Linked DNA regions of Canis lupus familiaris. The protein of the gene in region 2 binds, or shares a complex with, the protein of the main gene of each other region. Links are inferred from orthologs where the notes say so. Each region holds a gene or a part of one and is shown on either strand. Other genes may lie near its edges.

Region 1 (4,389 bases), on a different chromosome or scaffold from region 2:
ACTAGTCTGAGTTTCTTGTTTTCCTTAAGTCTCCACCTCTAGATAACCCTGTTGGTCTCCTATATTGTTATTTTAGGTCTGTTTTATTGTTTAAGATCCTATACCATTTGTTAGCTGAATCTTTACTGAATCTACACATGGGGAATCTATTTCTGGTCTATTCTGTCGCGCTCATCTGTCTTTCCTTCAACAAATCACATTGTTTCATTACAGTGTCTTGCACACTATTCCGAAAAGCGAGTTCCTCCTCAACCTCGTTTACAGGTTTCCCCACTATTCTCATAATTATATGACTTTAAGATGATGTAATCAACCCCCAACCTAGTTGATTCTATGGAAATACAATGTATTTGCAAATTAATTTTGTTTTTTTTTTTGTTTTGGTTTTTTTTTTGTTGTGCAAATTAATTTTGAAATCGAATTATTATTGTTTTCTGCCTAAGATGATGTGTTCTTCCATAGGCTCAGTATCGCTTTGATCCTTCAAATAGACTATTTTATAGTTGTTTTTTTTGTTTTGTTTTTTGTTTTTTTTTAAGAAAACAGGAAGTCCCTTTTTACCTGCGGCGCGTCAACGGTTCCGGTTTACGGTCGCGCGCCAGCCCCTCCCCCGTCCCTCGGTTCCGGGTTACTATGGGAATCGAGACTTAACGTCACTAAGGGCTTCCGCGCCGGACCAAGGAGTCGACCATGAAGCGAAGGTCGGAGAGGCAGCCTTGCCCCATCTACGCATGCGCTCTCCTCTCCACTCCTCCCCGGCCGTAAATCTCGTTCTGCCGGGTACCGCCGCGACCTCTCGCTTAATCCCAGAGAAACTGCTCCCCGGGGGAGGAGTAGAAAAAGAACCGGACAAGCGACAGCCAATCCCATGACACTACGACGCAACCGAGCATTGACCCAATCAACTTCAACCAATGAGAAAGACCCTGCCCCCTACGTCACAGAGCTTGCCCCGCCCCATTCCCCTCCTTTCTGGACTCCGAGCTCAGTTCGCGCAGTAACAAATGAAGTGCGCGCTGCGACACCTCCCAGCTCGCCAGGCTCGGCCGCCATTTCTTCCCCCCGGCCTAACGGTCCGGCCAATCCCAGCGTGCATCGAGAGGGGCTAAGGCTCCGCCAATCGGAGGCCGCCGATTCCGACCCCTTGCCTGGGCTCGGCCCAATCCAGGACTCGGACCCGTCGCCCCCGGACCGCCCCCGCGGCGCCCTCTCTCCTCCCTCTTTGTGCGTCTCGCGCCGCCGCCGCCGCCGCCCGCCGCGTGAGAGGACGGGCTCCGCGCGCTCCGCGGCAGCGCAGTCGGGTCCCCTCCCCCCGGAAGGTTCGCGAAGAAGCCGCCGCCGCCACCACCGCCTAAAAGGAGCCGCCGGTGCCGGTCCCCGGGGGCGCCATGGCGACCGGAGCGAACGCCACGCCGCTGGGTAAGCTGGGCCCCCCCGGCCTCCCCCCCGTTTCCGGGCCCAAAGGGGGCTTCGAGCCGGGGCCACCGCCTGCTCCCGGGCCTGGGGCGGGGCTGCTGGTGCCCGGGCAGCCGCCGCCCCCGCCCGTGGGCTCGGTGGGAGCCCTGACCGCGGCCTTCCCCTTCGCGGCGCTGCCGCCGCCGCCACCGCCGCCGCCCCCGCCTCCCCAGCAGCCGCCGCCGCCGCCGCCCTCCCCGGGCTCCTCGTACCCGCCGCCGCAGCCTCCCCCTCCGCCGCCGCTCTACCAGCGCGTGTCGCCGCCGCAGCCGCCGCCACCCCATCAGGACCAGCAGCCGGGCCCGGCCGGCGGCGGAGGAGGTGAGTCGGGCCGAGAGAGCGCGAGAGGCGTCGCGCGGACGGGCCCGGCCGCCTGAGGGGCGCGCGGCGGCGGCGACGGCGGCTGCACGCGGCAGGGGCGCGCGCGCGCACGGGGAGGCCCCGGGCGGAGGCGCCAAGGGGCGCGCGGCCCGGTTCTCGGGCCCCGAGTGCGCACGCGCACTGGAAGGGGTGGGGGGGTGGAGCGCGGAGGGTGTTGTGCGCAGGCGCAGTATGGCTGCCGGGCTTTGTGGCCCGATAATAAATGGAAATGGGGTGGGGGGGCTCTGTGTTGCTCTCTACAGCTTGGTACAGGAGAGGGGTGTCGAGCGGGTTGAATTGGTGGACGGGTTGAGGGATGTGCGTGTCGGGAGGGCGTGAAAGGGTCAATTGATGACGTGGAGCACCTTTCTGATTCTAGAGAAGTCCAAAAGGTAGGAAAGCGAGAGTAATTTATCTCTCTGTGCGAAGTTTTTACTGCAGTGAAAGGAAGAGCTCGAAAAATCCTCAGTGGTGTGGTTGGAGCCGGTGCACTTTTGGAGGAAGGAATATTTTCCTAATCTCCATTCGTTTATCTTAGAGAAGTCTGATATGTCTCCCCTTAGTTGTTGGGGCTTTCCAAGTAGAACTGATTTGTGTGTACCAGATGTGTAGAAAGTTTACGCTTCTGTTTTGGAGGAGGAGTATTTGGCTGCTGTTGGATAGCTTGTATTTTGTTGAACTTTTGATACCTCATTTAGGAGTTCTGATGTTAAGTGTCTAAATTAGCCAGGAAAACTGAATGCTTATCTTGACTAAACTTCTGAAGAAAAAAGTGAGCTTTTTGAAGAATTGGGCTTTTTCACTTAGTAAATTGTAAGTTTGGTTGTGTTCTGGTCCCTTTAGAAAGGTGGCTGGTGGGGTTTGGAGGTGGGAAGAACCAACAGTTTTCTCAGCATACTTTACCACATCTGATTATTCGGTATATTTTGTCTCCCCTGGGGTTTTTAAAACATTTGTGGTTGATGTTGCATATCTGAAACTGTAGGGATTAAGATTTGTTAGCTTGTTTACATACTTCACGTTTTTTTGACATATGTTATAAATATGAAATATGTTTTTGGACCCAGAGCCAGGTATCTTTGTGGCGGCTGTGTGTCTCTGATTTCTTGGGTATGTCTTCCATTTTTTGCCATTTACGTTTTAGGTCAAGTTCTCAGTTTCCCAGTCTGCCGAGGTTGTGTGTAGTATTATAAGTATCGTGAACTGCCTGTTGGTAGTTAGTTTGTTGGTTTATATTTGTATTTGATGGGTTTTCTCTGCCTTTAGACTTCCCAAGTAAGAAGCGGAAGAGGAGCCGCTGGAACCAAGATACAATGGAACAGAAGACAGTGATTCCAGGAATGCCTACAGTCATCCCCCCTGGACTTACTCGGGAACAAGAAAGAGCTTATATAGGTAAATACACGTTCTGCACCCAAATATGTTTTCGGATTGTTATGACTTATTCTGAGCAGCGTTTTATGTGTCCTAAATTTGAGACTTTAAAGTCTTGTTCTTTTGAGATGAGGTATGGTCAGGTGTACTTTTATGACTTCGACATAATCCATCAGTTTTTGCTCTGTAAGTCCTGCATTTGAAGCTCCTGGTTTCGGTCTGTTCGTAACAGCAGTGTTCTCCATGAGTGCCAGGAAGGTAGAGGGACCCATTTAGGAGTGAGGGTAGTCCCCAGTCCAGTACCCCACCCTACACTTTTCAGCTGCTGTTCATTGCCCGTTGGTGAGGTGAGTGTCTTCTGCCTCTCTGGACACGGCCCCAAGTGGAGAACACTGCAGGTATTATAAACTAAGTACCTTTTTCACAGCATGGCCTTTCACCATTTCATATTCTTCCCTCCCCTTCAAATGTGGTCTTTTACTTTTTATAGGTACTTTCTGAAAAACTCAGTTTAATCAAAGAGTGGTCCTGAAAGTGTTGGCAGTATACATCCCTTTTTACGATTTTGTTGAATTTAACCTTTCCTTCAGCATCTTTTCTGGTTTGGTCTTTGGAGAGCTGCCTTAAAACGAAGGCTCTTTTACTATTTATTATCAAAGAATTCTGCTGGGAAAGGGGTACTACTTGGATATGGCATGAGGTGATAGGGTAAAAAAGATCTTAACTGTTGGGAAATTTCAAGACAATAATTATAGTAATTGTCCACAATGTAAATGAAGTTAACCTCAAAATTACCTTTTTTTAAATACAAGGTTTTTAATGCGAGTTTCACCTTTATTCATGTATCTCCAGCTGTCTCCAAAAAGTTCACTTGATAAGCATTTCCTACTAACCAAATAAACATCCCCTTTGGAGTAAATTAGGGCAAAGGCCGCCTAGGCCTGGGAGGCTGTAGCCTTTACAGATAAAAAGCTTCAAGGCTGGCATGTGTTATTCTTGAGGATCATAATCTCTTACATTTTTTAATTGCTGAGAGTTTTGAGGTGTTGGAATTGTTTGTTTTTACAGTACTAATATTTCTTCTTTCCCCACTGTTCCAATTTACTCCTATCCACCTCCTTGTCTCATTAGATTGGCCTGGGTCTTTACAACCTTTTGGAAATGTCCCTAGTGGAATGGCATCCTAAGAACACAAGCAGA
Region 2 (3,816 bases):
GAAATATACCATATAAGAGTAAATGAAAGCAGGATGATCAAATGTCAATACTTTGAAGAAAAAAATGACTTCATTCACAAATTAAGAAAATTTCAATAAGATATAAAAAATTAAGAAATGATTACAGAGAATAATTTCTATTTTACAAAAACTTCTAATTTCATCTGTACTCAAATTGAATGAGAAGCTTTTTGGTTCATATCTGACATAAAAAAACTATTCTTGGTATCCAAAATAACAGAAGACAAAGTCAAAAGTTACACTATTTTACACAATTGTGAATTTGCTAGAGTTGGAAAAGTAAATAAAAAACTTCAAAAAAAAAAAAAAAAACCTTCAAGTATTACCTGTATCTTGGGTCATTAATGATCATTTTCATAGCTTGTTCCCATGAAGCATTAGAAGGTACCCGCTGAAAACCATTTAATGTCAAAAATTAAAATTTTGCACAAATACTGTAAAAGTCATACAACAGGAAATAAAGTATAATACTCACTGCAAACATCAAGCACTTCCCTTTGCTCAAATTTGAAAGAGGTCTAATAATTTCTTATTGAACCAAGGCAAACCTGGGTAATATATGTACAGACTAAAAAGAAAACTTAAACTGAAATTTAAACAGAGCAAGGATACTTTTCTTATGACTACTGGTTAAAAGATAAAAGATTATGAATAAAAAAACATAATTACATACAGAGGTAGAATGTGCTGTGTATTATACACTATTCACAAAAATTTTTTTTGGTTAAAATCAGTTTCACAGAAATATTCTCCAAAAAACTTTAGTTCATTTTTGGTTACAACATTTTATGAGATTAGCATTTTCAAAAAAGGCATCAAGGTGCTGATTGCATTAAACAGTAACTTTATTATTAATTATTGCACGTCATATAAAAATCTTTAATACCTTTTCTTTCAATAATTCTTTAAATGCTTGCTTTGCTTCCTCCTTTGTATTCCAAGTATAGGTTTTTTTTGCTGGTTGGCTTTCCTCCTCTTCTTTTTTTGGAGTAAAACTAGAGGGAAATTTAAATATGGTATTTATAACTTAAGTAAACATTTGCTTCGCTTATAAAAACAATGTTTTAATCATTTAAGCATTTGATATTGAGGTTAAATTTTATAATTTTAGAAATAAATTCTCCCGTATGAACCCTACACACTTACTTAAACATAAAGACATAAAGGTAATACACTTTTTTCCTGGAACATTCAGTTATTAGGACCCTGCATAGGGGCCTCTAAAAAAACAATGACACTAAAACATTAGTTCCACTAGTCCACAAATGAATACTTTTAAATGGTCTATAAAACTTACCTAGTGTTTTCATTTTAGTGGCCTTAGTAACTAAGGATTTGGGCAAGTGTGCATAAATATAAAGATATTGAGAGTACCTAAATCAGGAATGGGAAAAACTACAATTCATGAGAACCAAATCTAGCCCACTATCTGTTTCTATACATATAGTTTTACTCATAAGTTTATATATTATGGCTTCTTATATGCTACCACAGGACGGCATCATTTTAAGACTGATCCACAAAACTGAAAGTATATATATATTCTTTTGTAATTCACAAAAAAGTATGTCAAACATTGATATCAAACAAAAAGAATGAAAATATTCAAGAATTACCAACTGCACTAGTTTGGGGGTCTTTATAAAATGAAAAGATCATATACTACTAACATCTCTTCCTATATAAAGGTAAAATAACGCAGGAAAAAAAAAAAAAGAACCAGAATGCTTAGGGGAAGAGAATGGAGCAAATATTAAATGGAACAACTACACAAAATATATTCATACCCTCTGAGTCAAGTAACCTTACTTTGGGAAATTTATTCAAAATTATCAGAAATAGTATAAAGGGCCCAGTCAAAAATTACCACCTGTAAATGGTATATGTTGCAGAAATTAAAAAGTTTATGACGATTCAGGTACTAGAAGGAAATACTAGAAAGAAAATAAGCAGAAAGTAATTGTTGCTGAAATTACGAAAAACAAATTATTGTAGAAAAAAATAAAAGTATAGGGATGCCTGGGTGGCTCAGCGATTGGACATCTGCCTTTGGCTCAGGACATGATCCTGGGGTCCGGTCGATCCACAGGGAGCCTGCTTCTCTCTCTGCCTATGTCTCTGCCCCTCTCTGTGTGTCTCTCATGAATAAATAAAATCTTTAAAAAAAAAAGTATAAAAGGATATATAAAATACCATCCCAAAACTTTCAATGTCTATCAGAACACTGAAATTTACATATATGTAATTAATAATCATTCAACATGCTGGAGTATGTATCTTTTTTTAATTTAAATTCAATTAGCCAATATATAGTACATCATTAGTTTTAGATGTAGTGGTCAGTAATTCATCAGTTGTGTATAACACTCCGTGCTCATCACATCACGTGCCTTCCTTAATGTCCTTGACCCAGTTACTCCATCCCCCACCTACCTCTCCACTACAGCAACCCCCAGTTTGTTTCCCAGAGTTAATAGTCTCTCATGCTTTGTCTCCCTCCCTGACTTTTTTCCCCAGTTTTCCCTCCCTTCCCTTGTAGTCCTCCCTCCCTCTCCACTATTGCTTATATTCTACATATGAGGGAAACCATGTAATTGTCTTTCTGTGATTGACTTATTTTACTTAATTACCCTCCAGTCCCATCTATGTTGATGTAAATGGTAGGTATTCATCCCTTCTGATGGTCAAGTGATATTCCATTGTGTATATTATATATATATAATATATATTATTGTGCATTAATGTGTATATTATTATATATATTATATATATAATACACACACACACACACACACACACACACACACCACCTTTCCTTCACCCATTCTTCTGTTGAAGGACATCTCAGCTCCTTCTACACTATGGCTATTGCAGACACTGCTGCTATGAGCATTGGGGTGCACTTTTACTCCATTTGTATCTCTGGGGTAGATAATAGTGCAATTGCTGGGTCATAGGGTAGCTCTATTTTTAACTTTTTGAGGAACCTCCATACGGTTTTCCAGAGTGGTTTTACACCAGCTTGCCACCAACAGTGTAATAAAAGGATTCCTTCTTCTCCATATCCTCCTCAAAAGGTCATTTCCTGACTTGTTAGTTTTAGCCATTCTGACTGGTGTGAGGTGGTATCTCATTGAAGTTTTGATTTGTATTTCCCTGATGCCAAGTGATGTTGAGCAATTTTTCATGTGTCTGTTGGCCATCAGTATGCCTTCTTTGGAGAAATGTCTGTTCATGTCTTCTGCCCATTTCTTGACGGGATTATTTGTTTTTTGGGTGTTTTAAAGTTCTTTATAGATCTTGGGTATTAGCCCCTTAACTGTCATTTGCAAATATCTTCTCCCATTTCACAGCCTGCCTTTTAGTTTTGTTGACTGCTTCCTCTGCTGTGCAGAAGCTTTATATCTTGATGAAGTCCTAAAAGTTCATTTTTGCTTTTGCTTCGCTTGCCTTTAGAGATGGGTATTGCAAGAAGTTGCTGTCATCGAGGTCAAAAAAGTTGCTGCCTGTGTTCTTCTCTAGAATTTTAATGGATTCCTGTCTCACATTAGGTCTTTCAACCATTTTGAGTTTATCTTTGTGTATGGTGTAAGAGATTGGTCTAGTTTCATTTTCCTGCATGTGGCTGTCCAACTTTCCCAGTACTGTTTACTAAAGAGACTGTTTATTTTTTTCCATTGAATATTCTTGCCTACTTGGTCAAAAGATTAGTTGACTAATAGAGTTCGAAGTCCATTTCTGGGTTGTCTATTCTGTTCCACTGACCTATGTGTCTGTTTTCATGCAGTACCATGC

The links.
Region 1: the proteins of pre-mRNA-processing factor 40 homolog A (region 2) and SF1 are in contact, whole or in part, in an NMR structure (PDB 8PXX), measured with the Homo sapiens proteins. The link is inferred for Canis lupus familiaris from reciprocal best matches to the Homo sapiens genes PRPF40A and SF1. Residues at the interface, in NP_001352526.1 of Homo sapiens: His164, Ser166, Tyr172, Tyr174, Ser181, Thr182, Trp183, Tyr213, Tyr215, Ser222, Arg223, Trp224; in NP_004621.2 of Homo sapiens: Pro575, Pro576, Leu577, Pro578, Pro579, Gly580, Ala581, Pro582, Pro586, Pro587, Pro588, Pro589, Pro590.

The regions. Positions count from the first base shown.
Region 1 is NC_049239.1:52,885,024-52,889,412, forward strand, and holds the start of SF1 (splicing factor 1), read left to right. Parts: upstream 1-1,388; coding exon 1,389-1,776; intron 1,777-3,081; coding exon 3,082-3,210; intron 3,211-4,389. UniProt on the Homo sapiens protein: Necessary for the ATP-dependent first step of spliceosome assembly. Binds to the intron branch point sequence (BPS) 5'-UACUAAC-3' of the pre-mRNA. May act as transcription repressor.
Region 2 is NC_049240.1:55,427,842-55,431,657, forward strand, and holds part of pre-mRNA-processing factor 40 homolog A, read right to left. Parts: intron 1,017-3,816; coding exon 908-1,016; intron 413-907; coding exon 348-412; intron 1-347.